2 linked regions of the Arabidopsis thaliana genome follow. The protein of the gene in region 1 interacts with the protein of each later gene in a pairwise test. Each region holds a gene or a part of one and is shown on either strand. Other genes may lie near its edges.

What was found. Proteins that work in one complex are often made in the same cells at the same time.
Region 2: the proteins of AGL82 (region 1) and AGL102 interact in a two-hybrid assay, tested with the Arabidopsis thaliana proteins (one large-scale study listed by BioGRID).

The regions. Positions count from the first base shown.
Region 1 is NC_003076.8:23,776,009-23,783,930, forward strand, and holds AGL82 (AGAMOUS-like 82), read left to right. Parts: upstream 1-4,823; coding exon 4,824-5,708; downstream 5,709-7,922. Other genes in the region: AT5G58880 (LRR protein), read left to right, coding at 1-1,059, 1,144-2,948, 3,137-3,491, 3,586-3,593; AT5G58900 (Homeodomain-like transcriptional regulator), read right to left, coding at 7,267-7,687. UniProt on the Arabidopsis thaliana protein: Probable transcription factor that may function in the maintenance of the proper function of the central cell in pollen tube attraction.
Region 2 is NC_003070.9:17,568,557-17,576,588, forward strand, and holds AGL102 (AGAMOUS-like 102), read left to right. Parts: upstream 1-3,857; 5' UTR 3,858-3,894; coding exon 3,895-4,173; intron 4,174-4,327; coding exon 4,328-4,603; 3' UTR 4,604-4,817; downstream 4,818-8,032. Other genes in the region: AT1G47740 (PPPDE putative thiol peptidase family protein), read left to right, coding at 1-146, 223-479; PEX11A (peroxin 11A), read right to left, coding at 832-1,578; AT1G47765 (F-box and associated interaction domains-containing protein), read right to left, coding at 6,350-7,144, 7,174-7,536.

The DNA of each region.
Region 1 (7,922 bases):
TTCTTGGATATTCGATGAACATGAGCATCAAATTCATGATAAACCACCCGGTTTTGTCAGGGGTTTCAATGTTTTTACTCGTGCTATACATTTTCCTCCCTTCTCTGTTCTTCTTCTTGATCTATACATCACCGGTTCTTGCATGTGCTCTAGTGTATGCCCGAGAAAAGCTAGGGTTAAGATTCTCAAGTTCGTATTCAGAGCCAAAGAAGAGTTGTGGAGGAGAAAAGAGATGCCATTTAAAACAACAACGAAGTGTTAGACGAAATGCTCGAATGAAAGTTGAAGAATGGGATTCACAGACAAGCGAAGAAGAGAAAGACAAAGTTATCTTGACTTCTCTTTACAATGATCTCCTTGGTCGTACTCCTCAATTCGAAGAGTCTCCAAAAGCTTTAGAAACCAATGTAGTAGAGGAAGAAGAAGACAAAGAGAAGGAGTTTCTTGGAGAGGGAGTTTCTCGTGATTTGGGTCATCTCAACGTTGAAGAACCAATGGTTTGCAACTGTGAGATCAAATATGGAGAATCAGATGGTAAAGTAGAGATGAAACAGGAGATGAGTAATGCTAATGAGCATGGGATTTCAGAGATTGAGAGAAATAAGAGACTAGAGTCTTTAATCGCTAGAAGAAGAGCGAGGAGACGCTTTAGACTAGCTTTAGATCAAAAGAATAAGCTTCAAGCTGAAGAAACAACTAGCCCTAGACAGAACAACACCAACAACCTTCACGTTACGGTTTCGAGGAACTCACTTGAAAAACGTCGAAATAATTCATCAGATGGTACTACTGTTAAAGGATTACAGATTCCAGGCTCAGCTCCTTCTGTGATGTTACAAGGAAGAAACCCTTTTGACATTCCTTATGATCCTCAAGAAGAAAGACCTAATCTTACTGGAGATAGCTTTGATCAAGAGTTTTCATTGTTTAATCAAAAAGATTTGTTCTTTTGTCGTCATGAGAGCTTCTGTCGTTTTTCTCTGTTCTCACCAGAACATGTTCAGTGTATGAACAGCCCAGTTTCTGCTTCAGACATTTCAACTACTAGGAAACGTTTAGGTTATATCTCTAACATTTTCTGGTAATTAAATTTTGGTGTTTGTATTTTCTCTGTGAATATTAATGTACTTGTTTTGTCTACAGATTTGGAGAATGAATATATTGATCATACTGAACAAAATCTCCCATTAAATGGAAAAGAAGCTACAATAGAAGACGATGATAAAAGCGTTGTGAGTCGAAAAAGCGAAGAAAAAGAGGTAGAAATGAATGATGAGACAGATTCAAACAAAGAAGAATGTGATGATTCAAGTTGTTCAGAAGAAAGTGAGTCAGAACTATGCCGTTTAAACAAAGCGGAGCTCAGGGAAGCTATATGCCAATCCATGGACAACAATCCCGGTTATCTTGTGAATCAAGCAAGAAATAGTATTCCAAGCACATTACCTAGAGGTATAGTAGCGCCAAGACTAGATGATAACAACATGTTTTACGCTCGCAAATGTGGAAATTCGCACAGTCGAACATTTTCAGTTGCCTCGGATATGCAAGTTGAGGTTTCAGAGATTGGTTCACCTCCTACAACAGTTGATTGGCTTGATGACTGGTCTACTGGTGGTGAATCTTACATTTATGATACAGATATTGACAGAGAAATCGTCCGCGATGAAGAATCACGTAAGAGGATGTCTCATCAATATGAATCAAGAAGTGGAATAGGATCAAAAGAGGAGAATAGTGAGCCAAGTACTAAACCTGAGGCCAAACCAGATCAGGATTGTGTGGTAGATGAAGACCTTATAACAGTTGATGATATGTCATTGTTAGATAGAAGAACCCAAAGTGAAGAGATTTTTGAGCAGACACCTTCTAGTTCCAGTGATGTGTCCAAGCCTACAAGTTCTGGGAGATTTGAAGGTATGTTGTTCCATACAAGTGCCTCATTGTCGTCTATAACAGAAGAACCTGAAACAATCTTGGATTCGATCGATGGCGTCAACTCGGAGATTATGAATAGTTTGACTGGAGAATTAACTGACCAGAGACCTCTGACTAGTCTTGATTTATCCATGGAGAATTTGATAGATGAAGAAGTTGCTGATATGCAACAAATAGAAAATGATGATCTTTGTGGATCTCCTAAGATTATTGATTTTGATATCATTGATCATCAGCAGACAGATCAAACGTCGGATAGCATTCAAGGAGAACATGAGGAAACTAAGAGCTTCTTGGATGCTTCTTTGGACACACCCTTTATAGAATCATTTGAGAGAGAGGTACAAGAAGAAGAAGAATCAAACTTAGACAAGTCTACTGAGGAAACAACAAAAGAAACAGAAAGTGATTTGAAGAGTTCTCCGGGACAAGTTTCTACAGAATTACTAGAAAGTGTGGTAAGGGAAGAGAATGGTCAGGAATTAGTCAAAAGTGCTGATGAGAAAGCAATGCTAGTAGAGGAAGAGAAGACTCATAATGTCTTGGAAGCATCTTCGAGCAATGCTCATACACAGTTGGTTGATTTAGACTATGGAAACGCAGAAAATTCTAGTGATGTGATACTTCTGCAAGTCCAAGATAGTCATAAGTCACCACTAGATGAGTCAGTTGATCAGGAGATCTCTAAGGAAGTAGAAAAAACAGAGTTATTAAAAGATTTTTGTGGTGAATCAACCCAAGAATACAAAAATAGAGGAAATGTTGAGGCCTGTGGAAACGCAGAAAATGCTAGTGATGTGTTACTTCTGCAAGTCCAAGATGGTAATAACTCACCACTAGATGAGTCAACTGATCAGGAGATTTCTAAGGAAGAAGAAAAAACAGAGGTATTGAAAGATTTTAATGATGAAACGCCCCAAGGATACAAAAATAGAGCCAATGTTGAGGAAGAATCAGTAGTTTTAGCTGACACTCAAAACTCACAAGATTCACAAACATGGACTCAACAGGTTTCACCTTCTATTCTAATCATCTTTGACATTTTAGACAAATCTGACTCCACCAATGATTCACTGAATATGTGATTATCCATAACCATTTACTAAGATAATAAATTTTACTAGCTTCTTCCTCTGTTGTTGGTTCTTGATTTGAAGTTTTAGTAATTGCTTTTGACACTTTTGTTTTTATTGAATAGTGTGGTATAGATTCTTCCCAAGGGATATCACCAAGAACATTGGAGATCACCCAGCAACTAGAGCAAGACGATGTTATTGCCTCTTCCTCAAACACCGTCTCTCAAGATATCAATAAAGATATTACCGCGGCAGTAGCCAATGACTTAGCTGCTAGTGAGAGGAATGATGAAGTGATTCTGAAACTTGATGAGCAAGTTGGAGAAGCTATGGAAAAGGAACTAGAGCTTAATTTAGAATCACTGCACCATAATATTGGTTTAGTCGGTAGAGAAGACGATGAAGAATCCAAGAAAGTAATAGAGGAAATGCAAAATGCGGAGATCCAAACAACAAAACACGAAAACAGAGTCTTAGGTTAGTCGTAATTCAAAAATGGAGAAGAAAGCATAGATGATCAGAAAAGTGTTTGATATTCCTATGTTATAACCAAATGCTTACTATTTTGCAGAAAATTAACACATTGATGATACTAACACACAGAATCATGATGACGAAAACAAGTAACGCTGCACATAAGGTACGGTACGCCACAAGGAAAATGTGTTAAGAATTCTTTTTGATCCATAACAGGTGAAACATTGTGTTGTATCATTATTTAATGGACTTTTTGTTTAATTATACAACTTGTAAAGGCAACTCATTCTTTTGTAATATACTGTATAGAGATGGATAAATCTTTTGAATATATACTCACAGAAGAACTACTAGCATTCATTTCTCTTCTTTTCTTCTTTGTTTTAATGTTAAGATTATATTAGCGAAACATATTACAACCTAAAGCTACCCATATCCATAAAAAACGAATCGAATCGAGAAAGTTTTTCGGCATACAACGGATAAGTAGTACAACAACGGCCCTAAGAGCTGCCGGCGTTAAAGGTGACTATTATATAACAAGATTACAATAAGTGTATAAATATTAAACCGTCTAACTAATAAGGAAAGAAATAAATTTAACTGTGTTTAACATTTTTGTCTTTCTTGGTAAGCATCTTCAAGTTAGTATATTTTCCCTTTTGGCAAACTAAATATTCCCAATTTAATTCTTCTTTCCTAAACTTTCATGATCATTTAAATGTTCATATCTCGTGATCTTTGACAACCTTCCATAAACACAAACCTAATCAAGCTCAATATATAAAATCTCGCATATATTAGCTTGATTCACCCTTATTCCGACAGAAGCTCCAAAAAATCGGTTTTGGTATAAAATCTCATTGAAACTTTTGCTTTGATATTCAAGTAAGGATACTATCTTTTCCATAAACAATTTCTACATTTGTTCATTAATTCTGCTCTGGCTCTAAGGTATTTCATGTTTCATTTGTTCTGTTGTGGGATTGATTTCGTTTTGAGGGTGTCGAGAATTAGCTAGCTCCTACTTCTCGGATTTTGACTATTGGCTTTGCGTTTTCTCATTTATTCGTGAGTGTAATTTTAAAATTCTTTCGCTCTATCCTATGGTTTGTGTGGGGATTGAGGCAGCATAGAAAAAACGCCTTTAATTTGGGTTGTTTTGATCATAATTTGAGTGTTTATAGACCAACTATTCACAAAACGCCTATAAACAAAGTATTTTACAAAACATATCAATTCAATTTATTTGTACTTTTGTTTTTGGGAAAAAGGTTTATATGTTTATATGTTTTTTTTTGTAATATATAACAATAACTCAGGTTACAAAGGATGGTTCCGAAAGTGGTCGACCTACAAAGGATAGCGAACGATAAGACAAGGATAACAACTTACAAGAAGAGGAAAGCTAGTCTTTACAAGAAGGCACAAGAGTTCTCAACTCTCTGCGGCGTCGAGACATGTCTCATCGTCTACGGTCCCACGAAGGCTACCGATGTGGTGATTTCCGAGCCAGAGATATGGCCGAAGGACGAGACCAAAGTCAGGGCCATCATACGCAAGTACAAAGACACAGTGTCGACCAGCTGCAGGAAAGAAACCAACGTGGAGACTTTCGTCAACGATGTAGGGAAAGGAAACGAGGTGGTGACTAAAAAGAGAGTGAAGCGTGAGAATAAGTATTCTAGTTGGGAGGAGAAGCTAGACAAGTGTTCACGAGAGCAACTACATGGGATTTTCTGTGCCGTGGATAGCAAGTTAAATGAAGCTGTAACGAGACAGGAGCGTAGTATGTTTAGGGTTAATCATCAAGCCATGGACACACCATTCCCGCAGAATTTAATGGACCAACAATTCATGCCACAGTATTTTCATGAGCAGCCACAGTTTCAAGGCTTCCCTAATAATTTCAATAATATGGGTTTCTCGTTGATTTCACCTCATGATGGTCAGATTCAAATGGACCCAAATCTCATGGAGAAGTGGACCGACTTGGCTTTGACTCAAAGCTTGATGATGTCAAAGGGAAACGATGGTACTCAATTCATGCAGAGGCAAGAACAACCATACTATAATCGTGAACAGGTTGTATCGAGGTCTGCAGGTTTCAATGTTAACCCGTTTATGGGATATCAAGTCCCGTTTAATATTCCTAATTGGAGATTATCGGGAAATCAAGTTGAAAATTGGGAGCTTTCAGGGAAGAAAACGATATGATTTGAATTACGGAGCTTTATTAGTTTTTAGGGTTTTATAGTTTTGTTTCTGTTGGGGTTTTTAATTTTTTTTTGTGTATGATGGCTTGACATGCAAAAGTCAAGTGTTTTTTTTTTGACATAACATCATCTTTTTACATTTTATACAAGTTTCGGTTATACGTAAAGTTTTCTTTAAACACTCAGAAAATAATGTACCACTTATTTTATTATATTATCCTTGGTTTTTATATGATCATCTCCCAAATTGTCCCAAAAAACAAAATCTATAAGAACTAGTTAAGATGAATTAATTAATCATTTTACTTTCCGTGTCGAGTTTTAATTGGGATGGTAAGACATTGACAACCCTAACCACTAGACTATAAATCTTGCAACTGAGTAATTTATTTTTGTAAAAGCTTTTTTAAAAGAAAATATCTTTTTTAATCTTTGTTGATTATTCAATTACTTGATAGCTTTTGTTCATTGTTTTAAAAGCTAATTAATAATTTGTACCTTTTTGTTGATTGAATTCCAAAATTCTTTGGTTATACCAAAAAAACAAAATACGTATAGTGTCTACTGTCCTACAGACTATCTATAGCGTGTCTAGAAAAAGGAAAAAATAAAAGAAAAAATTAAGGACTATAAAGTTTAATTAGTTGCACTGTTCTCAAACATTGTCCGTTGTTATAACTTCAAGTGGTTGTTGAAAGAATAGTTTGGTTGATTGAGACGAACAACGAATAATGCCATATTGTGATCTATACATTATTCAAACATTACACGACAAATATTGGATATTTAAGTTAGAGATGGCCAACTTTGTGTCTTTGAACCTTTTTCCCTGCAACTTGTATTACAAACATATTTTTTTAATTTTTTCCCTCAACAACTAACACTGCACAATATCGGATTTAATATTTTTTTTATGCATCATACTATATAATATGATAATGCTGATATGAATTAGACTATTGTTGTGTTTCTCAAAAGGGGTTATTCACAACCACCATTTGCATATTTGGCACTGTTTAGGATTTGTTTAAGCACTTCTTACATCTGCTAATTCGATCGGGTTTGTCTATCGTACACAACACATATGATGATGTTTTGTTAGGTTTAGTCTCGGTTTACGCTTCAAGCATGTTCATGAATCTTAAACCGCTGATGAACTTGTGTGTATTAGATGTGAAGCTGTGACAGCCCATTTCGTATCGGTGGTCCAGAAGTGAAGTGGATGAGTAGTTGGAGTTATGTTGTATATATGCGTATAACGTAAGCTGTTAAAGACGATATAATTTGGCTTCACTTGTATATCGTTTTAATTTGGCATCACCTATCTTTCATTTTGTCACACCACTTGTTAATTTGCAACTTGCAACCATTTGAAACTTAACTAACAATTTTACTCAAAGATAACTTAGGCACTGTCAAGAGACTTTTATTAACTATTTCAATTTGGAATTAAAACAATGGACGTTTATTATACAATTGCCAAATATGATTGTTTCGTCCATATGAAAAATTAAGAATTTAACTTACACTTTTTAATTAGAGAGATGGATCTTCATTAGCTATAGTTGAAACATTGTGTTTTGGGCGTCATAGCAAGAATCTGCATTGTTATACCCTCCAATCATAACCTGGCCGTATGAATGAACGCCACTAATAGCGTTTCCAATCGTTATATTGAAAGCGTCTGCCTGTGTTCCATTGTTGTCCGTTTGGTTCCAAGGAAACGCGGTTAGCCTTGAACGCTGATCTCCAACAACAATGGAGCTCTTATTGGTCTCCAAAGAAGCCTCCTCTTCGAGATTTACGGTGGTTATGTCGTGAATGCTTGCTCGTCTCTTGTCCTTGCCGCCGGAAAGTTGCCGGATGAAGTACTTTTGGGCGTGGCTAGCTACTTGTGTTGGCGTTCGCGTTATCACAAAGTTCCGAGATATGTTTCTCCAATCTCCTTTCCCATATTTCTTCAAACCCATTAGAAATAGCCTGAATTGTGACAAATATGGAATCAAATATATCTACATACAATCTTGACCCAAATAAATTGTTCTTTGTAGGTTTGATGCGTTATATATGTGATTAGGCAAGATTTTGCAGCTAAACAGTGTTGCATAAATCATACTACGATTATGCAATGCATTTGTTCAAACAAATTAGAAATAGCCCGATTGTGAGAAATATCTAATCTAAGATATTTTCATAAAGTTATATACAACCACAG
Region 2 (8,032 bases), on another chromosome or scaffold:
AGAGTTTATGGAAGACATGGCTTGCAGTTACTACGGGAATATGTATCACTTGATTGTTAAGAACTGCAACCATTTCTGCCAGGACGTTTGCTACAAGCTTACCGGGAAAAAGATCCCAAAATGGGTGAATCGGCTTGCACAAATAGGTAACAAATGTTTGTTGCATTTGAGAATTGTTGAAGAAGTCTTATTTGAAAGACTAATTTACTTTTTTTTCTGCAGGTTCTGTGTGCAGCTGCATACTTCCCGAGTCCCTCAAGATAACAGCGGTCTGCCACGATCCAGACGGGCAAATCCCGGAGGAAGAAAACGAAAAGAGAAGTCTTAGAAGCTCATTCAGCTGTTTATCATCCATCTCCATGAGACAAAAACAGCTTTCAACATCATCATTGTTCCTACAATCACCTCTCAGAGGCTGCTTACCTCCTTGGCAACTCAAACGCTCAAAATCTAACAGCAGCTCCTTGAAAGAAAGGTAGACATTCCAACAAAAACCATTGCGGTCTCTCATTCGTTTCGTTAGCAACACAAACCACGATTTATCCTTCTTCTATCTTTGTAATGGAGTTCGAAAACAGATTTCCCGCGCCATCGCTTTTCATTTGATTTTAACAGGCTTTCATAAGCCATTCTTCATCTTCTTTCTGTTTGTATTGCTTCCAAATTTGAATCTTTTCTCATTTTCAAAATCATGTATTGCATCAACGCTGTTTATATCTAAACTAGCTCTCTTAGTTCAAACCACCGAAGAATCAAAACGAAACCTTTATTCGATAAGCAAATACTATAATTCAATCGAAAAACGAACGATGAACATCATCATCATGATCATCAACAAGAGATCCAGTTCTTATGAGTACTAACAATAGCAGAAAACAAACCTGCAGAAGATATCACATTAGGAGCCGATAACACTCCCTTACCATCACGAATATCAGCAATCGTCATCAAACCATCAGCAAGATCCTGCAAAATAGATAAAACCTTCAATGTCTTCTTCTCCTTAATCATCTTCATCTTCTCATCTTCACCATCACAAGCTAATCCTCTCGAAACCGAGATCTCGATCGTCGAAGCAACACAACTCTCTTCATCATTCAATTTCCTCAAATCCCTAATCTTAATCGAAACACTTCCTACATAACCAACCAATTCAGCCCAAGCACTAATCTTCTGAAGCCATTTCGAATGTTTCGCATCGATCAGTCCTGATTTCGTTAACCATATGAATTGTTCAACGAAATAGTATAATCCTTCACCACCGTACGCGATTATGAGTAAGACGAGCTCGTGATTTGAATCCCATCGTGAGGATCTTAATGCGTTGATGTCTTGTACGAATTTTCCGAGACGGAAGGCTTTGCGACTGACTCCGACGCTTGATTCGAAGCTTTTGAGTCGGGGGATTATGGATCTGGTTTCTGGGATTAGTGATGATGCGAGGATGATTTTTGTTGCGTAACGAGAGATTTTCAGGAGTTTGTCTACACCATCTCTTTTGGAGAGATATGTTTCGAGATGATTTAGGAAATCTCTGTCTTTTGGTTTGGTGATTTTCTCTGGAGCTTTCGTAGCCATTGGAGGAGATGGAGCTTTTTCAATTGTTGTTCTTCACGGACGCGAAGATGAAGAAGAAGGAGAATTGAAGATAACCGGAATCGAGTTTGATTAATTGGTTTGCGTGCCATTCCCGAATTGTCCGGTTTAATTAATGCGGCCGTGGAAAATGTATAAAATTGGTTTGATCTATTTTTCGCAAACAGCTTGAGAAGAAAGTTGGACTTTATTGATCTAGATACGAAAAAGGTCAATACATTGGCTGCATAGGGACCTTATTATTATATCTTCCTTTGACCTACTAGGGTCGACTCAAAAATGAAGGTGGACTGATCGGTCCCAAGTATATATAGACCTATCGGTCTCTGATTGTCTGGATCAGTTTCCACACCAGTTTCATCTGATTGACATGTCTTAAGTAGATTGGCCATAACGTCTTATTTCACTGTTAGATTTTCTTCAAATCACTTGGAAATAAAAGCAAAGATCATCACCTAGCTTGTATCACAATATGAGGAAGATATAACGGTGGAAAATCTTCCACATGACGCGAAACTCCAAACCCTTATACATGATCTCACATCTCCAAATGCGTGTTTGCATCCCAAAATGTTTTTTCCTCCATATCAATCTAAAACCTGTAAAGGATTAAAGAAAATCTTGAAACGCACTTTAACTCAATAAAAGACATGTTATCGGCTACATGTAAGGTTGTCATAATGCTCATGTTGTTCATCTCCAAAACGAGTTTGATAATGCATGATTTCGGTTAGACTATTCCCTTTACAATGCATGAATTTTCGATGATTTTTGAAGCCTTAGTCCATTGGTCTCGGATCGCCATGTCATTTGTCGTAGATTGCTAACTGATGTTGCCGGTAAAGTATTTTTGAATATATCCTCTAACGTTTCGTTGTCGAGTTGATTAATGTAGATATTTTTCATGGGTCTTCGGCTGAAAAACAGCTCAGTACGGAAAGTTGGTGCTCCAGCTAAAATTCCATGGAGTTAAATAGGGTCTCTAGATTTGCACTGAACTTGTTTTAGGGTTTTCGATTGCATGGTCGAATCACAGATCCATCCAACACCTCTGGTGTATCGGGTGAGGAATCTTCTAGTTGGATGTGGGTCCATCCAACACATCTTGTGCATCACATGAGGAATCTTCTAATTCGATATCCACATCAATTTATTTGACCTTTTGTAACACCCTGGTTTCACAAAATATGGTGGTGCATGCAGAGAAGTTTTAAAAATTTGATTTGACCACCTATATCATCAAATTGCACTTATTTTCAGTCAAACATCTGAAAAGAACTTCATAATTAAGCGTGCTTAAGTTAGAAAAATTACAGGGAATGACCTTCCAAGAAGTGATTGTCGCAACTGTATATGAGCGAGGATAAAACACGAGAAAATATAATGTGGTGATATGTAGGATCGGTAAACAAGCCTTTAAAGCCTCGTAAACGTAATGGATCGGCTATCGGGTAAGAGTGAGCCCGTGAGCCGAGAGAGGACGTGGGGTCACTAAGAAAGATGGAGGTCGGGGAGTTACAAACGGTATCAGAGCCAAACCCAGACGAATGTGGAGTTAAGAGGGTTAACAAAGTCGATTGTGACGGTCTTGATGCGCAACCAGGACGATACGATCTGCTAGAGGGATGAATTGTAACACTTTAGTTTCATGAAATATGGTGATGCATGTAGAAATGTTTAAAAGAATTGATTTTGACACCTATGTCTTTTGATGGGTGAATTTAGGAGAAGTGATTATTGTCGGATCCGTGTGAGTGAAAACAAAACATGAAATAATAAAATAAAAAACTCCTTTTAATTTAGAAAAAGTTGTTACCAAGTTTCATCAGTTTTTTATTTTCATTTTATTGATATGTCGTGGCTAGTGCGCATGTTTGACGCGTGTGAGTTTGCATTTTAAAATAAAATTTGTATATATGGAATGATATGTAGAGATACTAAATCTAATTTATAATTATTACAAAATTTGTATTTTTCCTAAATATTTTCTAATGAAAGATAAGCATTACAAAATTTATACTTTCTTCAGAAAATATATCTTAAGAATTTGTTTGGAATACCAACTCTTGACTATTATGATAAATTTGTGTAGTCAGAGTTATAAAGATATTTATGGTAGTAGTTAAAAGATAAATATATTTAAAAGGTAAATTCAAATATTTTAATAAAAAAAGGATAACAAAGATAAAAAATTATAATTAATGCGTTAAACCTACTTGAACCAATCCATCTATAAAATGGAGTAGAGTAGTAACAAAAACAACACCAACAACAAAAACATCTCTCTAAAACTAAGAAATGGGTCGTAGAAAAATAGAGATAAAATTTATTGAAGATAGCATCGAAAGGAAAGCGACGTTTTCAAGACGCCGAAATGGCATTTTTAAGAAGGCTGATGAACTCGCGAAGTTGTGTAATGTAGAGATTGCTGTCTTGGTCATCTCCCCCACTAATATACCATACACATACGGTTATCCATGCTTCAACGATGTGGTTGAGCGTATTCAAAATCCTAGTGCTTCGTCCAAACTCAGGAGTCTCATGAAAGAATTGGAACAAATCAAAGAGTTTCAGGAGGTATGTTTCCCATCATTAATATAATCTCATCCGTTAGTTTTCCTTCTTCTTCGTTCTCAACATATAGATTACAAAGATGGGTTTGCTATTATACACAGAATTAAATAATCATTATTTATTTTATATTATATAATATTTTTTTTGTCAATTTTAGGATTTGAGGAAGAAACAGCAAAGAAACCTTGAAAAGTCCAATATGAAAGAGAATGTAGATCTGAAATTGGAGGACTTAGTTGCTTTCAAGGCGAAACTCGAGGCCTATCAAGCAGGTTTAAAGAGGAAACATGTAGAGATGGAGGATTTGTCTTCTCCATCGATACTCTCAAAGAATACAAAGAATAAGATGATGAGGACCGAGTATTCGTCTGGACAGAGCAAAGGAATGTATGAGTTTCGGGCTTTCGGCCCAGGATTTCTTGGAACTATTTAGAACAATCGTCAAAATAAATATAAATATATAATTATTTATATCATATAAATCAATTACCGTTTATTTTTCTTTCCAAAAGTTTAAGGAATAAATTTTGGTTGCTTTAGTTTGAAGGAAGTTGTGTCCTCCATCTTGTTATCTTTTCAATCGGATTTTCGTAATGAAATGTTTTTTATATATAAATAATATACAATATATGTGATAATTTTGGAAAATATGTCAAAAAAATGTGAACTTTCAAATTTAGAACAAAAAAACATGAATTTTCGAAATGTCACTTAAATACCAAAGTTATTGTTGACTTTAGAATTAAATAGATAACTTTCGTTGATTTTGCCATTTCGGGTAAAACGTTACGTCAACTGACGAAAAAAATAACAGAATTAAGTCTTTTTTTTGTCATAAGATATTATTTAAGACTTAAACGAGCCAAAATTACGGGAAATTAACAGAATTAAGTCTTCGGTTATAAATTCTGTTAACTTATAAAACAACGTCGTTTCAATTTCTTTTTTTTTTTACAAGTTGAGGAATTGAACCCGCAACCTGTGAGATATAACAACTTTCCTTTACCGACTTAGCTCGCAGTTATTTATATGTTCTCAGAAACATACATATTTCTATAGGTTATAACAAAATGCCCAAATTAATAAAAATTTAGGGTTTCGATCCCCTTTTTCACAGTCTTCCCAATTTTAAAAGTTCTTTCCAAGAGGGAAGTCGATTGATGACGTATCCTCCGAAAATGATGAGTAAATCTAGAGAAAGCTTGATCAGAAGATGAGAAGATGGTGGATTCTTTAAAATCGTCGAGGTTTAGATCTTGATTCGCGATCTTTAGAGTGAGCCCCATAGAGATGTAGCCCGAATCGGAAGTTGATGCCATTGATGCGTTTATCGAGCTTTTGTTTAACCTATATAATTATCTATGTTAAGCAGTATGATGTTTTTAAACTAAGAACTTACTTCTAAGAAGCAAGAGAGAGGAGAGACTTTAGAATTTAGAGTGTTTTGTCTTTGAGAGCTTGAGAAATAATGAGAGGCTGGGTCTCTTTATATAGTAGAGGAAAATAGGATTTTGTGAGAATATTCTCAGGATATGCATGACATATTTTGAGACTATCCTAAGAATATTTTGAGACTATTCTGAGAATATTTCCATAAGATTCAACTCAGCAAGCCCAATAACTCACAAGCATGACGGTCCGCAAGCCCGACAGCCCTTGAGTCGACGATGGGACGTCCCGACAACCCGCAGCCCGGCTCATCCTAGTTCGGTTCGGTTCGATCAGGTTTGGCCCAAGTGTCCCACTTTACACCCTTATTTCTTATTCAATACAACTCCGTTTTTGACGTATGAGTATACCATTTTGTAGTACTCTTTACCCGCTTTCCAATGCACTAATGTCCCGATAATTCCGTTCAGCCGTTTGGTCGAAATTTGGCGGAAAAGTCACCGGAAAGGTTTTGTCAAAAAAGTTCCAACAGGTATATGCGTAATCTTGGTGCAATTCACTTATAGGGCCCAAAAAGATAAATAAAAGTCTTTAGAAAGATAAGGATCGAGTTACTACTACTAAATGATTGATGTTGAATTTGTGAAATGCTGTAGGGAATTGGCAAGGGAGGAAGATGACACGTGATAGAATCAAAGTAAGGGATGAGAACTTATAAGAAAAAAAAATCATAATTAAACTTGCAAAAATGATCATTCTAAAGGAAGAACAAAAAAGAAAAAAATTAAAATTATTGCAAAGACATTTGACTCTCAACGTGATCCAAGAAAGCACAGAACGCAAATATAGGTCCATATGGATCTCCATTATTGACCCTAGCTTGGTCGTCTGCAATTTCTTTAAGTTCGAATCTTCTAAAGGTTTTTTTCACCGGATCAAAAAATAAAATATAATCCATCTTTCGAAACGTGGAAGATACGAAAATAAATTCACCATCATGAGTGCAACCTTTTAGTTGGAAAAAGGTTCTTAATCTTTCATCAAAGTGACCAAAAGGTGCAAGAATATCTTTACTCGACCACTTGTCTTTTTTTGCGTCCTCCAAAATGCACAATGCTATGTAATCATCCTTCGTGGTACGTTTTTCAACACAAGCTATCCTCCCCTCATAAGTTATGAGAATTTCCCTATAAATATCCGCATGTAATTTTATCATGTCGAATTTTTCAGATCTGACATCAAAACACATTAAAACCCAAGCATGTGTATGATAAACTTGAGCTATATAATATACAACCCCCTTGATGCATCGACCAGAACTCTGATAGTCAGAACAATGCTTATGGTACGTTTTTACCGTTATCCATGAGAATTCTTGAGCTGGTCCTAATGTTAACACTTGACATACATCAGAACTTCTTCTAAAAGGCAAGCACATTACTTTGTGTTTACCTTCAACTGGATCGTATCCTAGAAAAACTATTATATTATTCCAGCTTAATCTGGGTATGGGTAAAGTTATCAACTGTCTCTTGCTAGGGTTCCAAACTATCGGCATTTTTGATGTCTTAAAGCAGATCAAGCCCTGGACAGATTCCGTAGAGGAATAAATACTACATCCTTCTGGTAATTCCATATGATAACGATAAAGAGCTGAGAAGAAGAGTAAGACCTTTTAGAATTCTGAAGTGAATGAAGATGTTGCGGAATTGAGGACACAAACAACTTGTCATTTTCTATGAAGCAAACTAAAAGACTCGGCCGTGGGGACCGAGTTTCGAACAAGTTGATGAAATATGGATCGGTGGTGATTGATAACCAAAGCTTCGACACACAACGAAACCTCGCAATAGATTTCTCAGGTAGCCTTAAGAGTATCTCCGAGGTTAGATCCAGAGGAAGGGACGAAGCTGATTTTGATTGTGTTCTTTTACTTTTCGAGACTACTTTTCTCTTCTTCTGTTTTTGTTGCTCCATCTTTTGTAGTCAAAACCCTAATTTGTTCAGGCTGTGTTGCTTTCAACCTTTTCTCAATATATACATATATATATATATATATACGTACATCCTATGCATTAGGTTTTATTTTCTACTTTTATTATTTATTTGAAGATCTTATATGATAAATAAGGGTTTGTTCAAAAAAAAAAAAAAAATGATAAATAAGGGTTCTCCTTCAAACTTATACTTTGAGAAGTTGACATGTAGCACTTTTCCTTTTGACATTTGTCATTTCTTTTATACTTAAATCCAACATTTATTTTTATCTGATTTGATTGTATCATTATATATTAAAAAATTCAAAAGTTTTAAATCAAAAAGAAATATACAATGATTTGTTTTCAATATATTTAATATCATTATATTGAATATCTATGAGAGACACATTCTTTGTTATATTTATAATAAAACAAACTTAATATTAAGTAAATTTATAAATAATTACTTTAAAACATATCTTATATTCTAATAG